Daphnia pulex: one gene and its partners. The protein of the gene in region 2 binds, or shares a complex with, the protein of the main gene of each other region. Links are inferred from orthologs where the notes say so. Each region holds a gene or a part of one and is shown on either strand. Other genes may lie near its edges.

Region 1 (4,911 bases), on a different chromosome or scaffold from region 2:
CAAAGCCCCTGGTTTTTCCTCAAGAAGCTGGTAGATATTAAACATTTTACTTAGATCTGTTTTATCCAATAACCGTTTGATTTATTCGACAGGTTTTAACCAATTCGAAAAGGTACTTTGCAATAAATAATAAACCGGATTTCAAGCCATATATACACCGTTTCTGCAGCTTGCACCTGATCTGGCAGGCCGTCGGAACTCTATTAAGTTTATCTGAGAACCATCGGTACTTTGCCTAGACAGCGTCCTGGAGAAACTACTACTCCACTGCACCGCCTTCGAAGAAATTATGTGGTGTGTACATTCCCCTTTCGATAACTAAAGGATTCGAAGAACTCTCTTCATTTTCTAGGATACTTTCTGAGGTAGCGTTCGGTCTTTTTTTGTCTACATCTGCAATCTACATCTTCTCTCAGTGTCTAGAAAAAAAAATGGTGGAATTTCGATTCTATCAAAGACACTTACACCATCTAGTGGACATAGTTTTTAGCCAACGAGTGATCTAATGGCAATACATTTTATAGCTGGAAAAATGATGTCCAGTTCCAGTAAAAGAAAAGAAACCATGAAGATCCCACACATCACAGATCATTTAAATTTTAGTCAGACCACGTTAAAAAGGATTGGAAGCTGGTGTCGTCTGCATCTCCGAGGCCGTAGTACCGTAATCCGTGTTGAGCTTTTATCTTATAGGACGAGACTACGAGATCTTTAGCCTAACTAGTAACTACGGTACTGAGGAAAAATTGTAAGTGACGAAAAATAATAGGAAAAATTTCAAATGAGGAACAAGTCCTTTTCTGATTGTTATTCTTGCAACGGCTGATGCTTCGTAAGTTCTTAACGAAAGGAAATTTTGGAAAAATTATCTCAAAAAATAAAAATCACCATAAATTCATACTGGTGCACCAGCCAATCATGAAGTCATTACTGCGCGCCGAGGGCAATAATAGTTTTTCGGGATCCGTGAACAGATATAAACTTTTTCGCCATTTTACAAAGAATTCAGAAAACGGGGTCAACATTAAATAGTAGTGTCAAAATGATGATTGATCTACAAATTTGTGTTTAAAATGTCTGTTGGGATCAGCTAATACTTACCTTGTTTTTGACTCTTTTACATTTGCAATAACGAACACCGTCTCACTTAGGAAGAATCCTAAGTTCTTGTCTAAGTTGAAGTCTGCACATCCAACACAAGAAATAAGAATAAAGAATCAGATAGACCTCGGAATAATAAGGAAATGAAAAGAGTGTTTATTACAAAACGATTAGAAAAAAGACAGCAGATTACGGTCGCAAAGGAGCCAGCCCCAACTTAGCTCGCAAGGCATTCGCTTCTGCAATTTCAGGATCGATGGCAGCACTGGAACTGCTACTCTTTTTGCTATCTTTCTTTTTGTTGTTGTACTTGTCACGATCTTCGCCTCTTTTGCTTCGATCTCGTTCTGATTCACGATCTTTCCCGCGGTCCTTGCGGTCTCTACGATCCCTGTCTTGGTCTCTTCTGTAGTCACGCGAACGTTCGACTGAGCGGCTTCGCTGGCGGCGACTTCGATCCCTTTCTCTTTCACGACTGCGGTCCCTGTCACGCTCACGGCTGCGATTCCTTTTGTCACGACTTCGACTTCTGTCTCTATGTCGATCACGTCTTTCCCTACTTCTCTCTCGTTCACGTTCTTTATCCCTATTACGACGAGAACGTTCCCGTTCTCGATCACTGTCCTGCTTTGAACGCGATGTAGTAGGAGGGGGCGACAACGAACCTCCTTTCCTTTCACCCTCTTCTTCTTCACTTTCTGAATCTTCTTCCTCCAAGTCTTCTTCCAAAGCTGATACTCTCGGCTCAACTTCATTAGCTTCTTCCAGAATTTGACGTTTCTGAAAGTAAAATAAACCGTATTTAATCAGTATTTTTTAGGTTGAATACTAATTCACATTTATACCTGAAGTCTGGGCAGGATAACATCACAAAAACGCTCTTCTCTCAGTAAACTATCAATGAAATCATCCATGTAAAGAAGCTCAAAATCTAAATAAAACCACATGTTAATTTGCAGTATTCTTTTTAAAAATATCTTATTTTTATTATTACTTCCTTCCTTGTTTTGAAACCGAATTTTTCTGTAATCATTGTAAAGTGGTTCTAAATATTTATAGATTTCCACAGATGTTCCAACAAGTCTCATGTAGAATGCTCCCAAGGCACGGACATATCTATAATGATACATTATATTAGGTGATTTCCTGTATAACTTGTCTGTTTTGGTCAAAGAACTTACTTGAAATCTTCATTTTTTATAAACTCCACTACAATGTCCTTTTCTGGTTGGATTTGAAGCATTTTTAGTGTAAGTGAGAGAAATGGAGTAGGTTTAACATTACCACCAAATATTCCACCAATGTACCTTAATTCCATGGCCTTATCCACCATCAACTCAGCTAAAAAAATACATATACATAAATAAAATGAGTGCATCAAAACACAAGTAAAATTTTCAATATACCTGTCAAAGCAAAGCATTCTTCTTTCCAGTACTTTGAATCATAAATTCGAGTTCTAATAATCTTTTCAACCAAGTATTGAGGATTTGTTCCTTTAACAGAAATTGCCTCTTTGATTGTTCGATTAGCCATTTTGAATTAATCTAAAACACTAGATGTGTACAGTCAAAAGAATAATCATTGAAATTTAACTGTGTTGATAAAAAGTAAAACTTTGTCGGCATTAGCAACGGAACGACAGAACGACGCTTGAATCCGTCGTCTGCTACGGACAGACAGAGACATCAAGTGGTCAAGTGGGTGGGGCGATCAATTCATCAATTGAAAAGAAAATTTTATCGTTATTTAGTTTACTTTTATGAAATATTTTTATATTTTTAACAAATCAATCACTTAAGTTATTTAAGATTTTTCAAACTAAATTTTTTAAACTGACCTGTCTGTTCTGAGAGAAGAGTCTTCATTTTTTTCTGTAGCTTTTCCGTTTGTTTTTCGCCTGCTAAACATTCCAGTATACTACCTTGATACTACTACAGACGTAAATCATCACGTAATCATTTTGAATCTATCTCGCCACGGTTATGGCAAAATATTTGGCCCAAATAATTGTTATGGGGGGCCAGGTTATTGGGCGAGCGTTTGCTAGAGCTCTTAAACAAGAATATCAAGCTAGCCAGGAAGCTGCCAAAAGAGCTGGTGGTGGGAAAGCCGGCGCATCACGTGTAGAAGCTAACTTCAAGGTTTGTTTGTTACACACAAAAGTTATGTAATATCAGTAAATTTTAAAAAGTTAACATGTTTTTTTTTTCATTCTGTAGACAGGCATGACCCTTGAGGAAGCAAAAGAAATCTTGAATGTGGATAAATTAGAACCTGAGTTGGTGCAGAAGAACTATGATCACTTGTTCCAAGTTAATGACAAGACGAAAGGTGGTTCATTCTACCTTCAATCTAAAGTATACAGAGCTAAAGAACGACTTGACCAAGAAATGAAACATGAAACAAAAAAACAAGAACCGTCAAAAGAAAATAAAATGTAACCTTCTCCAAAACGACAGTTAAGGTTATGGAAATTATCTGGAATTTATCTTTGTAGTCAAATTGAAAAATTGTACATATAGGGATAACTAATAAAAATCATTTTTTATAACCTTTTTTATTCTAATATTATAGAATCCTTATGCATATTTTTTTATTGTGATGTGATGTATAAACATTTTTTCAGGTATGATTTTAATTTAGTAGGCTTTGTTCTTACCTTTATATTTGAATCATATATTTTAGTGAAAACTTTAATCTTAACACAACTTGTGATTGCTGCAAATTTATTTCACTATACATTTACCAAGCTCATTTAATTATTTGTTTTATATGCATTAGGCCTTCTATAGCAAACACGGTTTTTACCAGTTTTTACAATGACTGACGACGACAATCAATATGGTATCCGTTAGAATGTAATTTATTACAGAATCTGGCAAACCGCTCATTCAAATATTTATAGAACCTTTTTACAAATATAATCTTTACATTTTATAAATATTAAAAACTGACATTTTATCTTCTAAACAATGTTGACTTTAGAACTTTTACTCTTTAAACTGATTTTTCGGCGCCAATAGGTGGAGGAAGATTTGCGCTTGTTTGTGTCAACAGATCGTAGTCACCTTGCCTGTGGTTCGTTTCCCGTTCGTTGCTGCCGCTACAACAGTTTAAAACAAAAGAAGAACTGAAACTCTTTTTAGTGCACATCATGTAAATCGTTAAAGCCATCACGAGTGCTAAATTAAACGCCAGAGCCAGTTCGACACCCACGGACCAGTTTTCGTAGCCCGTTAATTGCTTTACGAGTTCATGCGGATAACAGTGCGATTCTGGTTCTATTTGGGATCCTACGGTGAAACAACATTTGTTAATAGATTTTTCAAACATAGGTCTAACCATCAGTACCTGGTATAGAAACAAACTTGAGCTGTGAATCAGGATAGCATGAAGTGCACTGAGAATCACTTGGTCCTCTGCAGTAAAGACAAGAATAGTGGCACGGAACGCATACACCGCTAAGGAGACCATTTAGTTCGGTGCGATTCATTGGATGTGAAGCATTCGGACAGACTGCCAAGCACTTGCCCTCCCACAAATAGGAACCACTTTCACACCCTGGGAGCCACAGCAGAAGAGGTATAATGGATTCAAATATGGTATGTTAATCAATCATGCTAAGTTAATCAAGTAGTACCTCTAAGACTTCTGCTAACGGTCGTCATTAAGAGAGTTTGGGGCAATTCTGCTTCACGGTTTTTCTCCACGTTAAGTCCCGATGATAGAAGAGGCTGCTGAATTTGACTATCTTTTGAGACGAATTCAGCAACCGATTGTTTCACTGGTTGAATGGGAATGTCATCA
Region 2 (5,593 bases):
AGTGTATGCCATTTTAACACACGGTATCTTCTCTGGCCCTGCCATATCACGCATCAACAACGCCTGTTTCGAGGCGGTAGTTGTCACTAATTCTATACCTCAAGATAGACACATGAAAGAGTGCTCCAAAATCCAGGTAATCTAAATTAGCACTACTCTTTGCATTAGCTCTTTTTTAACATGCCATTGTCTCATCTTGAAGGTGATAGACGTTTCGATGATGTTCGCCGAGGCCGTACGACGCACCCACAATGGCGAGTCGGTGTCGTACCTGTTCTCCAACGTCCCCTACTAAATATAGTACAATTAGCGCACCGAACACCTGCGAGCTTCATCACTACAATGATTGTCGCTGTGGCCTCCCTCTCTGGCACCAACCCTCCTTCTCTTTTTGCAGTTTAGATACATTCCACACATTCGATCATTATTTTTCTTCTTTTTTTTCCCGACTTGTCTATGTGTGGCAACCACGATATATATCTATCTATCCGCTACTTTCAAGATGAAATGGAAAACTCCTCCCAAGCAGCCTTTTTTCTTTCCATCCATTTGGCCCGTTGCGATGAGCCCAACCCCTTCATTCTTCTTGATAGACAAGATTGACAAATAGAGTTGTGCCATAATTGTCACATGCCCTCTTTCGATGCTCGTTGGTGTGCTTTGTGGTGGCTTTCATGTGTGTTTATCCTTTTTCTTTTTATATGGGTCAGTCTTTGACGAACCACTATATACTTTTCTCACTTTCTGTCTTGTTGAATATCTTTTGGTCCACAAAAATAGTTTTTGTTTAGAAAAAAAAATGGAATGAAATTGACTGATGCTCTGGAATTGTTTCACTGCACTTGTGATGAAATATATATGAAGCTAGTGAGGGTACGAAAAACAAATCTTTTCATTCACGATGGGTACCTAAATGAATGCAGTTAATTGGGAACATTAGAAAACATTTTCGCGGTCAATACAGTAGAATATGGTTAATGAAGGAAAACCAATGATGAAAAATATCAATTACGACGAACAGACTTCTCCGGTTTTCTAAACGAATAAGAAATCATGAATTATACAGGAAAACATTTTGAAATAATTATGAAACTTACTGTGATTCTCCCGATGGACCTCCTTTACGCTTGTGTAGGATAGATTGGATCTTCTGCCATTCTCGGTCCAGTTCCGCTTTCTCCGTCTTATCTGTTTTGACAACAGTCTTGTTGCGCGTCTTGCGTCCGTCGGCCATCTTGATACCATACTGATAGGCAGCTTTAGGAAGGGCTTCCTTTTTGTTCATGTAATCACCATACTCTTCCGCTGTATCAAAGTCCCATCGACCGACTGGTCCTTTTTTGTTGCCCTGAGAAATAAGTTTACAAAAAGAATCTGTAAAATCAATTTTCAATCAACGTTTTAATCATTTCTTACCAGGTCCATTTTTGAGTAATCGGCTTCATCGTCCGAGTCTTCAAGAGCGTCGTTCATTTCCTCGAAACCAGGATAGCATTCGGCATATCCTTCAGGTTCAGCGGATAGTTTAGAAAGCATTTTATCTGCCTTCTTGGAAGACCCACCATCTCGTTTCTGTGAATCAATAGACAATCAATAACTGGTAAAAGATGAAACTCAGTATCATTATTGAAAACTTGCATCAGCTGCTCCTGGTTTTAGCAGGGCACCCAGAGTCCGTTCAGCTTCCAAAACTGCGGCGCTTTTCAAAGCATCCTTGGACTTGTCTCGATCAGCATCTCCGTCTTTATCCTTGCGGGATTTGTCGTCAAAGTAGTCACGCTTGTCACTTCGCCTTTCCCTGTCACGTGAACTACTAGAGGCAGTTTTCTCCTTTGTCGGGGCCACATAAGTCCCGATATTGCTGTAGATGGTGTCTTCTACTATTGTGGATTTGTTGACTTTCAGGCCGGGGATGATTTGCGGGGGTGGCATGTCTTTGTTTTCTTTGGGCTTTTTGAGCTTTTTGCCGATTTTTCCTTGCCGGAGGTACGATAAAATTTGCGTCAGCTTATTAATGACAATGTCATTTGTAGACAGAGTGGCTAAGGATTCCAGTCCGGGGCAATCAGCTTTGCTTCTCAACACGGTCGTTGGTATGTCTGACTCGGCATTCTCATCTTCTAACTCGATAAGATACGCCATTCGACCAGGAAGGAAATGTTCGTTTCGCTCAGGTGGTTTTGATCTGAATACGGCCCTGCATTTTAAAATAAATAAAACAATAAATTAACTCATGATCATTTCAATGATATGAAGTTGAAGTTTTACCTAAAAATGTTTTTTCCTATAATTGTTTTAAACTGGATCTCATCGTCACCTTCCTTCTTTTTCTCGACTTCCTTTTCTCCCTCTTTTTTTTCGCCTTCAACAGCCTGTTCGAGTTGTTCGTCATCCTCTTCTTCAAACTGCTCCATTTCACTGCGTACTTTCTGGAGAAGAGCATAATCGAGACCTTTCACCAAGTGAGTGTGTTCCATGTCACCACCCAAAAACTTTGATTCTTGGATCATTTGTTTCCTTCGTTCAGCAGCATCCATTGTTCTGTAAAAGAAATTTGATTCATGTTGATTGTTTGAAGTTTTTCAGTAGAAAAGTATGACTGTAGTACGATTTTATATCTGGTGCTACAGCACGATAAGCTCCAAGTGTCGCTAACGCATCAGGGCCAGAAGCTTCGCCTCCATCTCGTCTTTCTTTAGCACGATCGCGATATTTTTTTGCAAGTTCAGCTAGAATTTCTTCTTCTTCTTTTTTCTCTTTCAAGTATTCACTAAAATTATTCAAAGACGTTAACAACTATTAATGCATAGTTTGAATGAGTGTCTCACCTTTTTTTAGCTCTTTTCTGGTCACTTTTCCCATGTGTTGTTTTACGAACACTACTCTCTCCTCGAACAGACCCCATCCCCAAATTACTTGAAGAACCTGAACCTGATCCAAATCCAGCACGAGGTGTCATCATCAACTTTCGGAAGTCATCGTTTGTCAACCTGGAGGATCTACGGATTAAAAAATAAAAACAATAAGCTACATTAATTTGGAACATGGTCTAAATGAATGAATCATTTCTTACGCTTCCCCAGGTCCAGCGTCCTGCCCATCTCCTGAAACGAAATTCAATTTAAAGTTACTATACATTATTTCAATAAAAAATTACAGCAATGATCTTACTGTCAGGCATTATTAGGCCGATAGATAGTTGAATTCACAATGAGAAAACAAAATTTACAAAAACTTTGCTTGCCAAAGCCAAACAGTTCGAAACTTCGAACTTGTCGAAACAACAGACGAAGCAAACTAACGTCGTCTGCTAAGTCTACGGGAATACTAAACAGTAGCTGAAGGAAAAACAAAATAAATAAAAACGCGGGGAGTATGAATTCTGAGCATTACGCCAGTGTATTTTTCACATCATTATTTCTGCGTTTTTGTCATCGGAATTATAACAAAATCAGTACCATGAAACGAAATCATTGTAGTATTCTTTCAAAGCCTACTTAAAAAGTAGATAAGTTTCACACAGAGAAAATCTCTTCATATTAGCCATTGACTTTACACAAAGCCTCTAAATTAGGAAGCTGACAATAAGCAACTTCACCGTTGAGTGATCCCCCAACCATCTGAAATAAAATTTCATTACTTCAAGCCTCAGGATTTTCAAAAATAAGTAAACCAAAACAATACCTTGCCATTGACGATTTTCATACATGTGATTGTCTTCAAGGCCTGCCCTGGCAAAGTGATAATTCGAGACGGCTTATGCAATGTATCTATTACTCGAATAACTCCATCCATACAGCCAAGGATGAGATATCGGTTCCCTTCAAAGGACGAACTCACAGCCGCAGAGGGAACTAAAACATTTGAAAATTTTAATTACTTTATCGGAAAATTAACTCTACACGTTCTTACGAGTTTCCGTGATATACATATTATCACTATTTGTGTCGAATTTAAAGAGGTTCTTGTTGGCGTCGCAGCAGAACACATAGTGCGAGGTACTTGACATACAGTAAAAAGAACTGCTCGGAATGTTTGAGGTCAATGTGAAGAGAGCATCTTCCGTATCCAAGTCATAAACAACGGGGTCCATTCGCCTCGCTGCCACAATGATTGCTCTTTTTCCCCGAACGTTTAGTATCTTCATACAAATGACTTCACCATTCGCCTGCAAAAATAGAAGCTTTTGAAATTGTTCTAACTCGTAACTTATTTTACCAAATCAAACTTACTTTAAATTTGTTTATCCGGATACTATTGATTTTGGGATTATAAGTGAAGATGGTTCCTTCCGTAGTGCCCACATAGAGCTTTGTGATAAATTTGTGGCCCACTGCACACGTCAAAGCATGTTTACAAAATCTTTCGTGGATCAAGGAGCCACTGTCTAATGCAAACTGTCGAATGTGTGCGTCTTCACTGCCCGTGATGAGCGTCAAGTGGTTGAGATAGTCAGTAGTGGACTTGATCGACTTCATCACCTCACCCGACGTGTTCAATGCGACTCCGTACAACCAAGTAACCGGCTTGGTGTGACCCAATATCCGCATGGCGAGCGCATTCGTATTCAAATCGTAAATGTGGACCGTCCCATCTTCTGAAGCCGTGAATGCGCACGGCCCACAGATGTACACGCACCTCACCGACGATTCGTGCGACCTCAATAGAATCGGATTAGATGAATTCGTTCGAGGGGCTGTTGTGGTAGTCGCTGGTGTTGTCTGTTTGGCAGTAGTGGAGGAACTGGTAGATTTTTGCGTGGAAACTGAGGGTGTTGCAGTAGCAGCGGCATCTTTCCCCTGGCTAGGTTCAGTTGTTCGAGCCGATAATCTACCAGCTGCTCCAGAGACTTGAGGATTGACTGGAGGACAAGGTTTTGGGGTAGTGTTTTTACTGCTTGCTTCGTCCCGCTTTGAATAAGTGCGCACATTTTCACTCGGCCGTGAAGTAGTGACTTCCGCTGACTTTTCTGTCGTTTTGGAAGCATTCGCAACATTCTTTGGAGTAACAACTTTTGCTTTTTCTGCAACAGTAGCTGACTTTTTCGGCTCTACGGCTTTAGGCTCTGCAGGTTTAGGATCCGGTACTTTAGGCTCCGTAACTTTAGGCGATGAAGAAACACTTTGAGATTTAGCTGCTGAAATCTCTTTTGACTGATTGTGAGACTCGGCAGCAAGTGACGATTCGGACGGAGATGTTGCCTTTTTAGACTGATTGGGAAGGATGACGGGCGTCGGCGTCTTCTTCGTACAACTGATTGTTTCCACTGATTGTGCAATTACGGAAGAAATCGTCGAAGTGATCTGGTTAATTTGACTTATTGACAAAGTCTGTGGAAGAGCTGGAGTAAATTGCATAGGCTGGAAAACAGCTTCGTTTGTTTGCACTTGACCAGGCTTTTCCACAGATGGTGGGATATCAGCAGCACTGCGTAACGGAGAATTGGTTGGCGTACCCTTTTTCTTCTGTTGTTTGGAGTCATCGCTGGGTATCCGCTTCCGTTTAGTTCCAATCGTAGTCGGAGTAACGGAATCTGAGGGGACAGCCTCCATATCACCAAGAGCTACTTGCACTCCATTCTCTTCCAGCTGAT
Region 3 (5,570 bases), on a different chromosome or scaffold from region 2:
GGTATTGATTATTTGATGCCATAGCGCACTTTGGCAACACACTATTGCAGTGAGATGCCATCTTCAATCATATAGTCTTAGTTATTTGTTTCCTAAATCTTTCCTCTACGCCCCACGACCTTGTTGAATTTTGTTATACACAGCACTTGAACGAATGATTCATTACGATTTGTGATTAGATGTTAACCACGTTAGTCCTTCATACAAGCCGTCGCCTGTTGTGGCACATGCTGGCTGGACGTACCAGTTCCGATCACGAATACGAGTCAGCCCCAGTTTTTCTTGAATTTCGTGTGGTTTCATGGCTGTCAACATGAAAATGTCGTGAATAAATTGGGGTTCCACAGTCTCAATTATAATAATTGTAAAATACTCACCATCCTGGAGGTCTTGTTTATTTGCAAATATAAGGATGATGGCATCACGCATCTCACGATCGTTTATGATCCTATGAAGTTCTTGTCTAGCTTCGTCAATTCGATCTCGATCTGCGCAGTCCACAACGAATATCAAACCTTGGGTACCAGTATAATAGTGTCGCCACAGTGGGCGGATCTTATCTTGGCCACCAACATCCTGCAGTAATGATTCATATTTTAGTGTTGGGTTTAGAAATTTGATGGGTGAGGTCAAAAGGAACTAGCTTACCCAAACATTGAATTTGACATTTTTATATGTTACAGTTTCAACATTGAATCCAACGGTGGGAATTGTTGTGACTGACTGTCCTAATTTCAGCTTGTATAGAATTGCTATTTTGAAAAACAAAAATAATAAGTATAACTTGGAAAAAAACCAATGCTATCAGACAACACATAAAATTCTTTATCTCACTTGTTTTTCCAGCTGCATCCAGCCCCAGCATGAGTATCCTCATTTCCTTGTTTCCGAATATTTTGGACAGTATTTTCCCCATTCTCCTAATCAGCTCACTAACAAGCTGTTTTACAAGAAAAGAACTTTATTTCAAGCAACAAAATGACCCTGTCAGCCACAGCCATATAGTTTATCCACATCTGTAGAACTGAAGTGTCAAACTAGTTTGGTAACTTTTCAGTGACATTTGTGGCAAAAGTTGTTATCAGAAAAAAATAAACAGACTTTGCTCAGTCATTTACAGCATACTAGCTAACATACTATTATCAGATCAGGTTTTCCACTTACTTTAATGTAGACTCAACAATGACGTTTACTGGAATTTTAGCTGTAATATGGAAGTATTTTCGAAGGCATTCCTATGAACCGGAGTCGTTATTTGCACAAACACTATTTTGTTTTTGATGTGAGCACTAAGAAATCGATGGAAGGCGTTGGAAACAGGCGAAAATAAATAGTTTCTTTGCTTCTTCAGATAAAAAGGCACCTGTCACTTCAGTTAGCCGCCCAAACACCCGACCCGGTCTTCCCGATATCTTTGCAAGTCTTCAGAAGATCCAAAAAACTCGGGCCTTCCAATGTAATGAACAGACAGAATAGTACTCCTTGCATCTCACCAGATGGCTTTTTTTTCCTTCTTCCAATTTTGGTGACGGCGGCGTCTGAAAACAACTAGCTATTTCAGACTTTAACACATTCCACTCAACTAATCAATTATTTCTATTATTACACTTATTCAAGTGGAATAACGAGAGGAATGACATACACACACCAGTGTAATTGAGCAGATGGAATTCCAACACTGACAGCCAGTGTCCCCTTTTCTGCCCACCTTCTGATCCGCCCACCCAAGCTTCGATTTGATTCGATTTCAAAACCATTCCCTAACCGTCAACGTGTTCCCTCCCACATCTTTAAAATGTATTATTGAAACAACGAGTGATAAATTATTTTATTATAATTTTTAATGCAGGATTCATTGGTTCGAAAGGGGAAAATTTATTTAGCAGTTTCTAACATTTCTAAAAATTTGATCGGCAATACGGCAAGTGTTTAGTAGCGACGTCTATAATTTCAATTTAAGTAGCGGTCTCTGGCGTCAAGATTACGAAAGAAAAGTTGAAATTCATGAACACATTTTTCTTTTTAGGTTGCCGGAAGTCGACAAAATGCCTCAAGCCGGATCCCTATCTCCTCCCTTAACCCCCCGCAGCAACAGCTAACAGGTTGTCTCGGCTATCAAAGTGCATTTAAGGAAGCTGAATTACTCATTTTACAACTGAAACATTTCACCATGTAAGCCGCTAGCCGTAGTCTTTTGTTTTTTTTCCAAAAGAAGCATATTCACCATAAATATGTTCATGGTTTGTACATAGTGTTTCTATACAGTCACCGCCACCATGTTATGACGTTTTTTTGATGGATTGTTATTTCTTGTTGTTGCTTTTCGGACACATGTGTACTTGACTACTCAAAAGATTTGCTTTTCTCCCACAATACTTATTACTGGTTAGGTATTTTTCTATAAATAAGCACACTAGTGCTTGTTGCCTGGAAAGATTTATTTTAGCTCCTTTCTTTTATTACAGTACAAAACAGTTATTTATTAAGAAATAAAATGGAGACATCGAAGTAGAATTTCGAAACCGCACATTATTATGCTATGACGATAAAAAAAAAGCGGTAGAACCACCAAAAATATTCGGTTAAACTTTCGAGCGGATATATTTAGTGGAATATAGCGTGAGGTAAATTTTGAAGTGTGTGTCTAATCGATGTCCTTGAGTTCAATATCTTCGACGATCCGGTGAAAACTGCACGAAGTCATGCGGAGCTTTGAATACTTTGGTGTTTCGAAACAGTTGATAATAAGCTGAAACTCGTAAAACCACCGCCATTGCGATCAAATAGTGCGATGTGTAAAATCTAGCTACGACATAAGTAATTTCCTACAAAGTAAGTAGTAAGTAGGTAGTTGCTATATACAATAAATGAGTGATTTATTGTAACGTCATAATGAGGTCCAAATTCCTAAATTCCGACATTAATTTTCTCAGATTTATTTCGTGATTCTTAGGCACTTCAAGGTAAACGAGATTCCTCACGGTTGCCAATCCCTGGATAGAACTTGGCGAAAGGTCTCCATGGATTTTGGTCACGGCCTCTTTATCCTGATCCTGCTATCAGCTAATAAAACTCAGATAAAACTATCGTGTTTGCATTGTGTTGCCTAGAAGCAGCATAATCAGATTTTCAGTGGATTACAGCAACATCAATTGCTGGGTACTGGTCACAGTCTGCAATAACATGTCATACAATATTACGTGCCATAGGAGACGGCAAAAGTCACGTCATTCTTTATTTCAATTTAAGTTCTTAGATGGCGCAGTAGTCGTCTTCAATTTCATTCGCCAACAGAGGACTCTGCACTCTGGTGATCCGATGAGTGGCCCACTGGCCCTGAATAGAGTATGCAATGGCAACGAAAAAAACATTGAGTGAAAATTCAGACAACAAACGCGTGTATATGGTCGTTCCGTATTAAGATTAAGACAATTTTTTGTGAAAATGTCGTCATCCAAAGTGGTCCCTATCCTTTCAACCGCGGGTGCTATCCCTGTGAAAAATGACAAAGGGGAGATATCTATGCAAAAAGTTAAAGTCAATCGTTACGTATCAGGCAAACGACCAGACTACGCTACTACACATTCATCTTCAGATGATAGTGATGAAGAAGAGTTTATCAGACCAAGAAAGCAGGCAAGAGGAAGACCAGTAGAAGAAAGGTATTAAATTATTGATTGTAGATATGTATTTATATGCTTGTATATTTAAAAAATTTGATTAAATTGTAGTCCTGAAAAAGAATGGGACGAAACCCCAGATCTTCCACTTACTGCTCACAGTGACAGAAGATTAAAACGTCTTTTAAATCGTGAAGTTGACGACCATAGAATTGAAAGGCATCGTCATATCCATGAGCCTGAAATTATTGGAACAGAAGAAGATGAAGTAACACCTCATTTAGAAAGTGAAGAAGTAAGTTTTAGCAAAAATGCCCGAAGATGGGAATCAAGTGAAGAAGAGGATGAGGCAGAAGATCTTGATGAAGATGACATTGAGCGCAGAAGAATGATTGCACGTCAGAAGGCTGTTATTAAACAGCAAGAAGAAGTAAGTTAATATACTTTGTAGTATGATCATTGATCAATTCAATTCAATTGCAAATTTTGTTGTAGGAGTTGTTGGCAAGAGAGGAGGAGAAGGAAAGTGAGGAAGATGAAGATGACGAAGCTTCAGAATATGAAGAATATACAGGTTTGAAATAAAAGTCCCTTGATGTGAACAAGACTCTAAATCTGTTGTGTTTTTTATCCTAGATTCTGAGGAAGAAACGGGTCCAAGACTGAAGCCCATCTTCGTTAGCAAGAAAGAACGTATAACCATAGCTGAGAAGGAAAAGGAATTGCAAAAACAAAAGCTTATGGAACTTGAAGCTAAAAAGCTTGCCGAAGAACGTCGCCGCTATACCTTAAAGGTAAACCATTTTTAAATTTATACACTTTTTGAACTAAAAAAGCATTAAAAATCTATTAAACAGGTTGTTGAAGAAGAAGTCAGAAAAGAAATGCAAGCCAAAGACGAAAAAGACCTTGAATCAGGAATCTTGTCGGTGTTGACGGATGCCGAGGATGAAGAACTCGAATACGAGACCTGGAAATTACGTGAACTTAAACGCAATAAGCGTGACCGAGATGAAAGAGAGGCAGAAGAAAGAGAACGACAAGAAATTGAACGTATCCGTAATATGACCGAAGAAGAACGGCGACTGGAATTCAAGAACAATCCAAAGGAAGTCACAAACAAGGCACCAAAGGGCAAATATAAGTTCCTACAGAAATACTATCATCGCGGTGCCTTTTACCTCGTAAGTTCAGCTTTTAAAGATATTTGGGATTTTAAAAATAATTTAAACTCTTACTCTAACAGGACGAAGACAAGGAAGTTTTCAAACGCGATTTTGCTGTGCCAACTCTTGAAGATCACTTCGATAAGACTGTTCTGCCTAAAGTGATGCAAGTTAAGAATTTCGGTCGCAGTGGTCGAACCAAATACACACATTTGGTGGATCAAGATACATCACAAGCCGACGCACCGTGGGCCACGCATACTGCTCAGAATTTGAAATTCTACACACAGCATGCTGGTGGAGTAAAACAAGTGTTCGAAAGGCCTGCTTTGAAGAAGAACAATAACTCGGGTACTTGAGTTGTGGCACTGTTTTTATATTTGAAATTGAATTTTGTAACAATGTCTCATCTTTGTGGTTGATACATGCAAACCATCAATCGTACGTGAATTAAACATGTTTCCAGACATTCAATGTATCTAAAGGAAGGGGTAATCTTTTTTTTTCAGTCACTGCTTGTAGTAAAATTTTAAATCTTAGATTACCCTATACTTAGTAGTTCTCTTCTCTGCTGGTCTTTGTCTTTCTGGTCCTGGCTCCTTCTGGGCTGAGAAAACTTTTTTCGCACCCGCTAGATGTGCTGTGTACCGGGCTGGGTTGGGATGGGGTCATGGGGGTGTAAAAAGTTACACTAAGGGATAGCTCGAACAGTCGGACGCCGGCCTAGAAGTCAAGTAGGCCATGTCAGGATATTGTTTTGGGTCACGCCTATTGCACTCCGGGG

Evidence for each region. Proteins that work in one complex are often made in the same cells at the same time.
Region 1: protein Red-like (region 2) and pre-mRNA-splicing factor 38A-like share a complex: the UniProt entries of both Homo sapiens proteins name them as parts of the spliceosome B complex. The link is inferred for Daphnia pulex from reciprocal best matches to the Homo sapiens genes IK and PRPF38A.
Region 3: protein Red-like (region 2) and microfibrillar-associated protein 1-like share a complex: the UniProt entries of both Homo sapiens proteins name them as parts of the spliceosome B complex. The link is inferred for Daphnia pulex from reciprocal best matches to the Homo sapiens genes IK and MFAP1.

Annotation. Positions count from the first base shown.
Region 1 is NC_060022.1:2,881,934-2,886,844, reverse strand, and holds pre-mRNA-splicing factor 38A-like, read right to left. Parts: upstream 2,783-4,911; 5' UTR 2,638-2,782; coding exon 2,508-2,637; intron 2,443-2,507; coding exon 2,283-2,442; intron 2,218-2,282; coding exon 2,096-2,217; intron 2,060-2,095; exon of another isoform or gene 2,033-2,059; coding exon 1,947-2,032; exon of another isoform or gene 1,882-1,946; coding exon 1,291-1,881; 3' UTR 1,242-1,290; downstream 1-1,241. Other genes in the region: mitochondrial import inner membrane translocase subunit Tim16-like, read left to right, coding at 3,087-3,245, 3,324-3,545; furin-like protease 1, read right to left, coding at 4,102-4,397, 4,456-4,665, 4,745-4,911. UniProt on the Homo sapiens protein: Involved in pre-mRNA splicing as a component of the spliceosome.
Region 2 is NC_060027.1:2,115,471-2,121,063, reverse strand, and holds protein Red-like, read right to left. Parts: upstream 3,319-5,593; 5' UTR 3,182-3,318; coding exon 3,172-3,181; intron 3,105-3,171; coding exon 3,074-3,104; intron 3,000-3,073; coding exon 2,829-2,999; intron 2,771-2,828; coding exon 2,609-2,770; intron 2,542-2,608; coding exon 2,269-2,541; intron 2,198-2,268; coding exon 1,639-2,197; intron 1,573-1,638; coding exon 1,417-1,572; intron 1,349-1,416; coding exon 1,098-1,348; intron 1,036-1,097; coding exon 1,005-1,035; 3' UTR 816-1,004; downstream 1-815. Other genes in the region: ribose-phosphate pyrophosphokinase 1, read left to right, coding at 1-136, 203-295; flocculation protein FLO11-like, read right to left, coding at 3,540-3,620, 3,685-3,854, 3,913-4,168, 4,233-5,593. UniProt on the Homo sapiens protein: Involved in pre-mRNA splicing as a component of the spliceosome. Auxiliary spliceosomal protein that regulates selection of alternative splice sites in a small set of target pre-mRNA species. Required for normal mitotic cell cycle progression.
Region 3 is NC_060019.1:11,264,702-11,270,271, reverse strand, and holds microfibrillar-associated protein 1-like, read left to right. Parts: upstream 1-2,029; 5' UTR 2,030-2,172; exon of another isoform or gene 2,173-2,240; intron 2,241-2,953; 5' UTR 2,954-3,444; coding exon 3,445-3,662; intron 3,663-3,731; coding exon 3,732-4,050; intron 4,051-4,115; coding exon 4,116-4,194; intron 4,195-4,256; coding exon 4,257-4,414; intron 4,415-4,477; coding exon 4,478-4,804; intron 4,805-4,866; coding exon 4,867-5,145; 3' UTR 5,146-5,255; downstream 5,256-5,570. Other genes in the region: ADP-ribosylation factor 6, read right to left, coding at 163-305, 378-576, 649-752, 835-916. UniProt on the Homo sapiens protein: Involved in pre-mRNA splicing as a component of the spliceosome.